Schizosaccharomyces pombe: one gene and its partner. The gene in region 1 interacts genetically with each later gene. Each region holds a gene or a part of one and is shown on either strand. Other genes may lie near its edges.

The links.
Region 2: mutations in imp1 (region 1) and msd1 together harm fitness more than expected from each alone (negative genetic interaction), as found in Schizosaccharomyces pombe (one large-scale study listed by BioGRID).

What each region holds. Positions count from the first base shown.
Region 1 is NC_003423.3:3,914,306-3,919,014, reverse strand, and holds imp1 (importin alpha family nuclear import signal receptor adaptor Imp1), read right to left. Parts: upstream 2,461-4,709; 5' UTR 2,390-2,460; coding exon 770-2,389; 3' UTR 501-769; downstream 1-500. Other genes in the region: F0-ATPase subunit atp4, read left to right, coding at 1-246; exoribonuclease Rex4, read right to left, coding at 3,463-4,212, 4,287-4,319. UniProt on the Schizosaccharomyces pombe protein: Functions as a component of the nuclear pore complex (NPC).
Region 2 is NC_003423.3:3,048,932-3,052,786, forward strand, and holds msd1 (microtubule-anchoring factor Msd1), read left to right. Parts: upstream 1-1,619; 5' UTR 1,620-1,648; coding exon 1,649-2,644; 3' UTR 2,645-3,028; downstream 3,029-3,855. Other genes in the region: gpi14 (pig-M family mannosyltransferase), read left to right, coding at 1-1,262, 1,313-1,546; SPOM_SPBC13E7.07 (uncharacterized protein), read left to right, coding at 3,580-3,855. UniProt on the Schizosaccharomyces pombe protein: Has a role in meiosis.

The DNA of each region.
Region 1 (4,709 bases):
AAAGAAACTGCCCGTATGGAGGCTGAGATCTTTGAGCTCGAACAGCGAGTTGCTTTAGCTAAAGAAGCTAAATCAGTGTTGGATAGCTGGGTTCATCACGAAGCCAACGTTCGCGCTGAACAACAGGAACGTCTCGTTGAAGATGTCTTGGCTCGTGTCAACAGCAAAGTTTCTACCCAAAAGTTCCAACAGGATGCTCTCAATGAAAGTCTCGGTGAAATCGAAAAGGTCTTAGCTAGTGCCTAAATTGTTTTTTCGAGGGACATAATACGATAAGACAGCTGCAGTTTTTTTCAGTCATATTTGATTTGCATATATGCTTATTAGCAAAAATTTGCGTCATTATTGGTTTTCAAATTGCATTCACCGATTAGTCGAAGTCATTTGAACCTAACAGTGTATATCGTCCCCGCTGCTTTCTTTTATTTTTATTTTCTTTGATCCTAAACCCCCTTCTCTATTTTGCCTAGTTGCAGCTCTTACGAATATAAACATTTTTAGTGATATCATGCTATTTACCTGTACCGCTCTGTTTTAGTAGTACACTCATTTTTTTCGTAAACATATTATTTAACCGTAGTTTTTAATCCTAATAGAAATACTTAGCTTCACAAATAGCTAAATTGAATTAAAAATAGAGGGTAAAAAAAAGAAATACAAACCCAACAAAAGCACCAGTAATGGAAAACAGAATTTGTCTAAGTGAAACATGTAAATAATGTGCGCTTCGATTAGAACAAAAAAAATTTTTTTAAAATTAATTTAAACGTTACATAGCCATATCTTGAGAATCAAATTTAAATTCTCCTTGAGCTTGAGGGCCATTGCCAAATGTGAAGGCGCCATTTTCGGTTTCAGGTGCCAAATCTTCAACTGCGTCCTCGTCACTGAAATACTTTTCAATGATGCTATACGCTTTCAAATAAATATCGTTATTTCCGGAGGATTGCAAATCATGGATCATATCCATACCGCCAGCTTCCTCAACGTAGACAGCGTATTGATTAATGTTTTCAAGATCCATAGTTCTGTCCATCTCACCAACTTTAAGTATGTTTTCAATGGCATCGAGAGCAACTTGAATAATTTTATTATCGGATCCGTTCAACATATCGCAAAGTGGCTTAATAACGCCTTGTGACACAAGGTAACGAATTTGGTCAGGCTGACCGAGACCGCCAGAAGTAGCATTAGAAATAGCCCAACAGGCTTCTTTTTTTGTTTTGTAGTCGGCATATGAGAGTAAATGGACCAATGGAGGTATAAGATTACTTTCAATAATTGCTTGGATTTGTTGGGTATTGCCAGCAGTAATATTGCTAATAGTCCAACAAGCTTCCTTACGAATGTTCTCTTTTTGATGACTGAGAAGACTAGGGAATGCATTGAGAGCACCGCAATCGATTATGATCTGTGTTTGCGCGTCAGTACCTGTTACTATATTCCCCACAGAGCGAAGGGCAGGAGTTTGAATATTAACGCTGGGAGAGCTCAAAAGTTCAACAAGCCTGGGCGCACATCCAACGTCTAAAATGGCGCCAATTTTTTCGTTAGGTCCATCAGAAAGATAGGAGATGGCCCAGCACGCGTCAACAATAATCTCAACGTCTTCAGAATAAAGGAGCTTAGCAAGGATTGGAACGGCTACAGAAATAGTTGACCAGTTAGGTGGTGGATTTTTGCCTCTACACAAGTTAGAAAGTGTCCATGTAGCGTTACGGAGCATAGAAACATCAGAAGCGCTACTCTGAAGAATATTAAGTAAAGGCTGTAAAACTCCGTTACCGAGTACATAGTCACGGCAGGCAGAAGAATCGCCAGCTATGTTACCGAGGGCCCATACAACCTGCTCACGGACATCTTTTTCAGGTGAAGAAAGTAATTGAATAAAACGAGGAACAGCGCCGGAATCAACAACAATACGGGTTTGATCTGTGGTACCACTAGCGATATTTGTTAAGGCCCAAGCCGCTTCAAATTGAAGCAAGTGATGTTCACTTTCTAAAAATTGTACGAACCGGTCAACAACACCACAAGCAATTACCTGATCAATAGGGGGATGCGTCTCCTTAGAAAGATATTTCCTGAATTTCGTGACGGCACCTAATTGTAGCTCAATGTCGTCTGACATCACATCAGCTGTCAATTTAGGAAATTCATCTTTCATTTGTTGCTCCATTTGAACCTGAGACTGATCAGCCTCCTCTTCCACATCAATGTCATTTTGTAAAACAGCGTTTAAATTCCTTCGTTTATTCAAACTTTCCTCACGTTTTTGTTTGCGGATTTCAATTTGCTGTTCTTCACGTTGCCGACGAAGTTCATCAGCTTTGAAAACACCTTTGCTTTTAAAACGGCTTCTTCTATCTGATAAATATCTCGATTCCATTTCTATAGGAATAAACTTTTTTGATATCCTTTTTACTCTTTTTTTTTTAGTTATCTAAGACAGTTGTGGTTGCTGCGAGTTTAATGAGAATAAGGAGGTAAAAGAGCACTTGTGTCGTTCCAAGAAGCAGCCGGCACCCAGGTAACAATGTTCAAAAATAATAAATTTAGAATAATTTGAAATATATCATTTTCCGGTTCAAATCGTTGAAACTTTCTAGATCATTTTTGTTCTGTCATTGGAAACCTTCGCACCATAAAACGGGTAAAACAACATGCTTATTGAGCTCATCAACCAATTTTTCTTGGGTTTTTAACAAGCTGAATGCTATAACAAGAATTCAAAATTTAAAAACAAATGGAATTTTTCTTTAAACAACCTGTCAAGTTGGCCTATTTTTATTTTTATTTTGATTATATAATACATATAGTTGAGCAATTTAATCTTTGAATAAATACTTATTTTTCAAACACTTCCGTATCTGTTTTGTAAGCTATTAATATGTATACATTAATGGTCCATTGTCTAACTAGAATTTATTTGGTAGCTATTATTAATATATATATTTTTTATTTTTTTTGTGATAATAAAGATTAATTCGGTATTTATATAAATTTAGGAATTAACTTAACGGCGCTTGAAAACATATTATCGTCATTCAGTTAAAATGCTCTAAATCATATACACTATAGGAAGTAATCTAATTATATAACATTAACTTTATTAATTCACAAAGTAATTATGAAGACCATATAAACGAAGCTGATAAATCTCTATATCCTTGTTTTTTCCATACATTATTTCTTTCCTTCAGTTGTATGCATCATTTATTTATACTAAAAATTATTAATAGATTGACTATTTAAAACCAGAAACGAAGGAAACAGAAGAGATAAATAAAGAAAGAAAACCAACGATTTCATAAGAGCCAATGAAAACAATATTGCTGTTATAAGCAACCGAAAATATATTTAACATCTGACACATATCCAGTAAAATTATAAGAAACATTTTCTTGCATATTATTAAACCCAAATCCCAAATGACCAGAACGAAGTCTAGTGATTCAAAGCTTATGACTTTGACAAACCTTTGAATGCAACTTCATCCATTTCTTTTTTTACTTTCTTATATAATTCCATCGTTGCTTGGGCATCCTGGACGGAAGAATGCTGTCCAGATTGAATGTCACGCCCAAGAATCACTTCAGCAAGTTTTTTAAGCCCTGGTGTCCTTCCCTTGGCTAATTTCCGATACCCAGAAAATCTGCTGGTATCACGAATCATTCTTCTTGGATGCGATAAAAGTAGTACTTTGAGATCGTTATGGACAGCATGTCCAACCAATACTCGATTGTCGAGTATCTTAGCAACTTCTGCTTGTACTTTTTCAAATGAAGGTGCATCCCGCATGTGAAATGACTTGACACCACTGACCCATGTTCTCCAATCCGTAACCTTTTCTTTAGGACGGACATAAGTATCATACACGACATGACCATGATAATTAACTATACTGACGCGTGCAAGAACTGACATGTCATCTGCCACCCCAACCATTTCACAATCCATTGCAATATATTTCCCCAATGTTTCCAAATTGGTTTTTCTGGTAAGCTTGGAAGCATCCACGCCATATGCGTCAAGGACTTGAGATTCAGGGATATCATTTTCCTTAGCAAATTTCTTTAATTCATTCATGCGTTTTTTATCGACGATATAAGAATTCTCATTCTCATTGTTTTTACCTTTCACACTTTTAAGGTATTTCTTTTCATTAGAATGCTTTTTTTCAACCCGTCCACTCTTAGCGCTGTCGAGTTTCTAAACAACCAATACCGTTAGTATACTTAAACAAGAATCTTAAATGACTTAATGGAAACTATAGCCTTTCATACCTTCTTTAACTTTTCCCAATTGGAAGAAGACATTGCTTGTGCATAAGAGCCAAAGTTGGTGCAAGAAGCAATTTGCAACCTCTTTCAATATGATTCTCAACGCGGTATCACAAATATTTTATCACATTTTAGCACATTTCATTATTTTGAATAAAGCGTTGATGATAGTACGTTACGTTAAGTATCATTATATAAGTCACATGCCTTGTATTTATTTATCTATAGTATATATACATATATTGACAGTGATGCACCATTTGTTGCTTCTTGATGTAACTACTGCCAAATATACGAGACTATGAAATAAATTAACCTCCGTTCTTCGGGTCACCAATGAGCTATTTCAGTGTGTACCCACTTCGTAAGAATATTATAAGGTACCGGTGGTTAATGCATTTCCTAATAAAAGAATATTGTGAATAT
Region 2 (3,855 bases), 870 kb from region 1:
TCAAAGGTATTCAATCATACAACTTTCAAAATTATGAAAAGGCATATTCTTTACTAGCTGCTGGAGTTACCAATTCTTTGCTTGAATGGACAAACACTAGTGTCTCAGATAAAGAATATTTGCGAATTCAGTGCTTTATTCAATCTTGCTTGCAATATCGTTTAACCCAGGATGAAAAATATCTCATTGATTTGGATGTGAAAGTTTGCAGTCTATTCAATACAAGTGCTCGTGAAGCTCTTATCCATTATGCAAAAGCTATGAAATTACTGTCAAAGTACAATAGTCGTGAAAATATGATTACCAAATTACGTGAAAGTAGTTTATATCTCCTATATGCGCCTACTGATGCATTTCTTTTACTTTTATTGGGTCTATTGATGAGACTTGTATTGTTGAATTATGGTATTTGGCATGATAGACGATCTGCCCTTAAATTTACGGACATCGATTATTTCGTGTTTTCGGACGCATCAAAATATGTCTCCATAGGAATGTCACCGTATATGCGTGACACATATCGCTATACTCCAATGTTGGCAATTTTGCTTCTTCCTACTCAATACGGATTTCCGTCGTGGGGTAAATATTTGTTTTCAATATCAGACTTAATTGCTGGGTGGCTTATGATTAAGCTCTTATCTAGGAGGATATCTTACAAAAGGTCGTTAATTTACTCTTCCTTCTGGATATTGAACCCATTCGTCGCCATAATCAGTACTCGAGGGAATTGTGAAGCCATTCTTGGTATATTGAGCATTGCTTTGTTGTATTTGATCGAAAAAAAATCAGTTTGGCTAGCTAGCCTAATACTTGGGTTTTCTGTGCATTTTAAAATTTACCCATTTATGTATGGGATTGCTTTCTTAGTATATTTTTCAAAACCAAAAAAAGGGTCCACTTTCATGGAAAAATTTCTATCTTTATTATCGATTAATCAGTTAAAGATTGTTGTTGGTTCTTTGTTTATGTTTACGATATGTAATTTATTGATGTATTACCTTTACGGGTCTCCATTCCTTGAACATACATATCTTTACCACTTTGGTAGAACAGATCATCGACATAATTTCTCTCTACATCATTTAAACTTATACTATGAATCATCTTTCGGAGCAAAAGCGTCTTCTTTATTTGCATTTCTGCCGCAGTTAAGTTTGTGCATGCTAATACCCTTGGTCTTTGGAAAAAAGAATTTACCTGGGACTCTATTTGCCCAAACATTTGCATTTGTAACCTTTAATAAGGTTTGTACCAGTCAGGTATGTTAAGTTTGAAATTAGAAGAATGACGGATTATACTAACAACTTAGTATTTTATGTGGTATCTAGTATTTCTACCTCTGGTTTTACCAAACTCTAAGCTTTTAAGTAAGAAGGGACTTATTTGTCTGTCTCTGTGGATTATTGGTCAGCTGTTATGGCTTATTAGTGCATACAATTTAGAAATGTTGGGAAAATCGGTATTTATACCTCTTTGGCTTTCCGGCTTACTTTTTTTTTTTTTTAATGTTTATGAATTAAAAATAATATTAGATTCTTTGTAGTTAATAATCAATCTGTTTTAAGTTCTATGCAATAGATGATTTTTATAAGGATGTTCTACATTATTTCTTCACCACCGCATTAATAAGTGTAAACATTGGAAGATGACCACCCCCATTGTTTTTTGCAACCCCAGCAATATAGAAGAAAGCCTTTTGTATATTAACAAATCTTTATTTTCCAAAGGAGTAATACAAGCTGAAAAGTTACGCCTTTCTCATGACATTCGTGATAATTGCAACATAGTGAACATCATATATCGTTTATTAAGAGCAACTGACGAAGAACGTTTAGAAAAGGAATCTCTTCTTGATGCTATTAAAAATAATGAATATGAAAAGCAAAGAGATAACAATACAATAAAACGGCTCAAAAATGAGTTGGAGCTTTATCAAAACGAATGTCAATTGCAACTGAATAAAGTTAGAACACTGGAAAGAGATCAAGCTGAATTAATTACACAAAATAAAGGTTTGAAAGATGTAAATGCTAAAAATGAATTGACTTTGAAGGCATTAAAGAATCAATTATCTGTTTCATTACGCCAGCATGAGCAACAAATGGAGACTTTGAAAGGTAACTATGGACTAGTGAAAGCTCGAAAAGGAAGAAACCTAAATAGTATGTTAATCGTTAAAGAGCCTATTAAGCAAAACACAAATGCCCCCATACTACCTGAGACCGCTTCATTTTTGCAACAGAATGATGAAAATTCCAATTTCCTTAACAGTAGGGTGAATAACGATGAATTTCAATTGTTAAAAGGATTAAATAACGAATTGAAAAAAAGTAACGGAACACTTTTGACATGTTTAAGTGGTACCTTGAATTCACTGGTAGAGATGTTAAGTCCTTTATACGAACGTCCTAACTCGAACCCGTTTGAAGTATGTGAACTGAATGCTATCCTTCTTGATGCAAAAATTCAAAATCAGCTGCTTTTTATTCGTAATCTGTTGCATGAACGTAAATATGTTTCAATTGATGAATTGGATGCAATATTAGAGGAAAACGAGAAAAATAAACATTTGATAAACATTCTTCAAAAGGAGAACAAAAGAGTTTTTGAATTTTTAACAAATATGCACGACAAATTTTGACTGACTTTTAACGTAATAATTTGCTGCTTCGATTTCTTAAACGAAAGCCAATTTATTAATAATAAAGAACGCAATTCAAAGACACTTATATTCCTCTTTGAGAACTGGAAGATTGCTTTTTATTTTTTTAAATATTTATTTATTGTAAACAAGTGCATCTTCTTTCACTAAGTACAGAATTTTGAAGGCAAATTTCTATTCTCAATTGAACGATTTAACATACCTTAAAATGTGAAACTGTTAAACAGTGCACCAGGGCTTTGAAAGCATGTTGTTAAAGGATTGTAGGCACTAGCTCAAGAAAGTCGATTTAATTATTTCCATGTAAAAGTTAGTTGGAGCACTTACGATTGTGTTTAATCTTCAAAAAAATAATTAACCGGAATATTTTCTAAAAAGTCATAAGTTATTTTTAATTCTTTTTTATATTTGTAAAAAAACACCTACATAATTATAAATATATTGATATTTCGAATTTCAATTCTGCTCAAAACTACTAACACACCCCTAATAGAACAAAATATTTAAGGTACTAGTAAGCTTCAAAAATCATTATTGGTGGTTTTGTTAAAAAAGTAAAAATCAGAGTTACTATAATGATAAATAAATTTTAACAATTTTTTTTTTTAATTATACTTTTTAAGCGAATACGTTGGTGTATTAATTTTATTGGCGACAAGTCTTTAGCGAATTTAGAATAGCATTAGTAGTGTGATCAAGTACATTAGTTTTTTTTGTCAAATGTGTTCAATGTTAAACAATATAATTACCTTTTGTTATTGAAATCACATTTTCTTATTGTTTACATTTTTTAACATATAGTGCTATATATCAAGGATCGTTAAGTAGCATTGTGCATTCCCTGATACATTATGGCGCTTGCTTGGACTGCCATTTGGTTGCTCTACTTACACTATTCCACATTGAGATAAAGAATGGGTTATGAGGAGGCTTTCTTTAGATGGGCATTTCTTATAGCTACTGTTTACGTTGCGTACTATTTTTTAGTCTCAAGTGATAAAAAATTAGCTACCAAACCTCAAAAGTCTAAGCTTACTAAGTTGGGTAAACAGAAACAGAGGCAGAAACAAAAGAACACTAAGAAGGATACTTTGGTTAATCGAGAAACTCCCTCTAAAAAATCCCAAAAATTGGAAACCTCAGATGCCCTAAAGTCGAAATCGAAAGACTCTTCAAAGAAGGAACCCGTG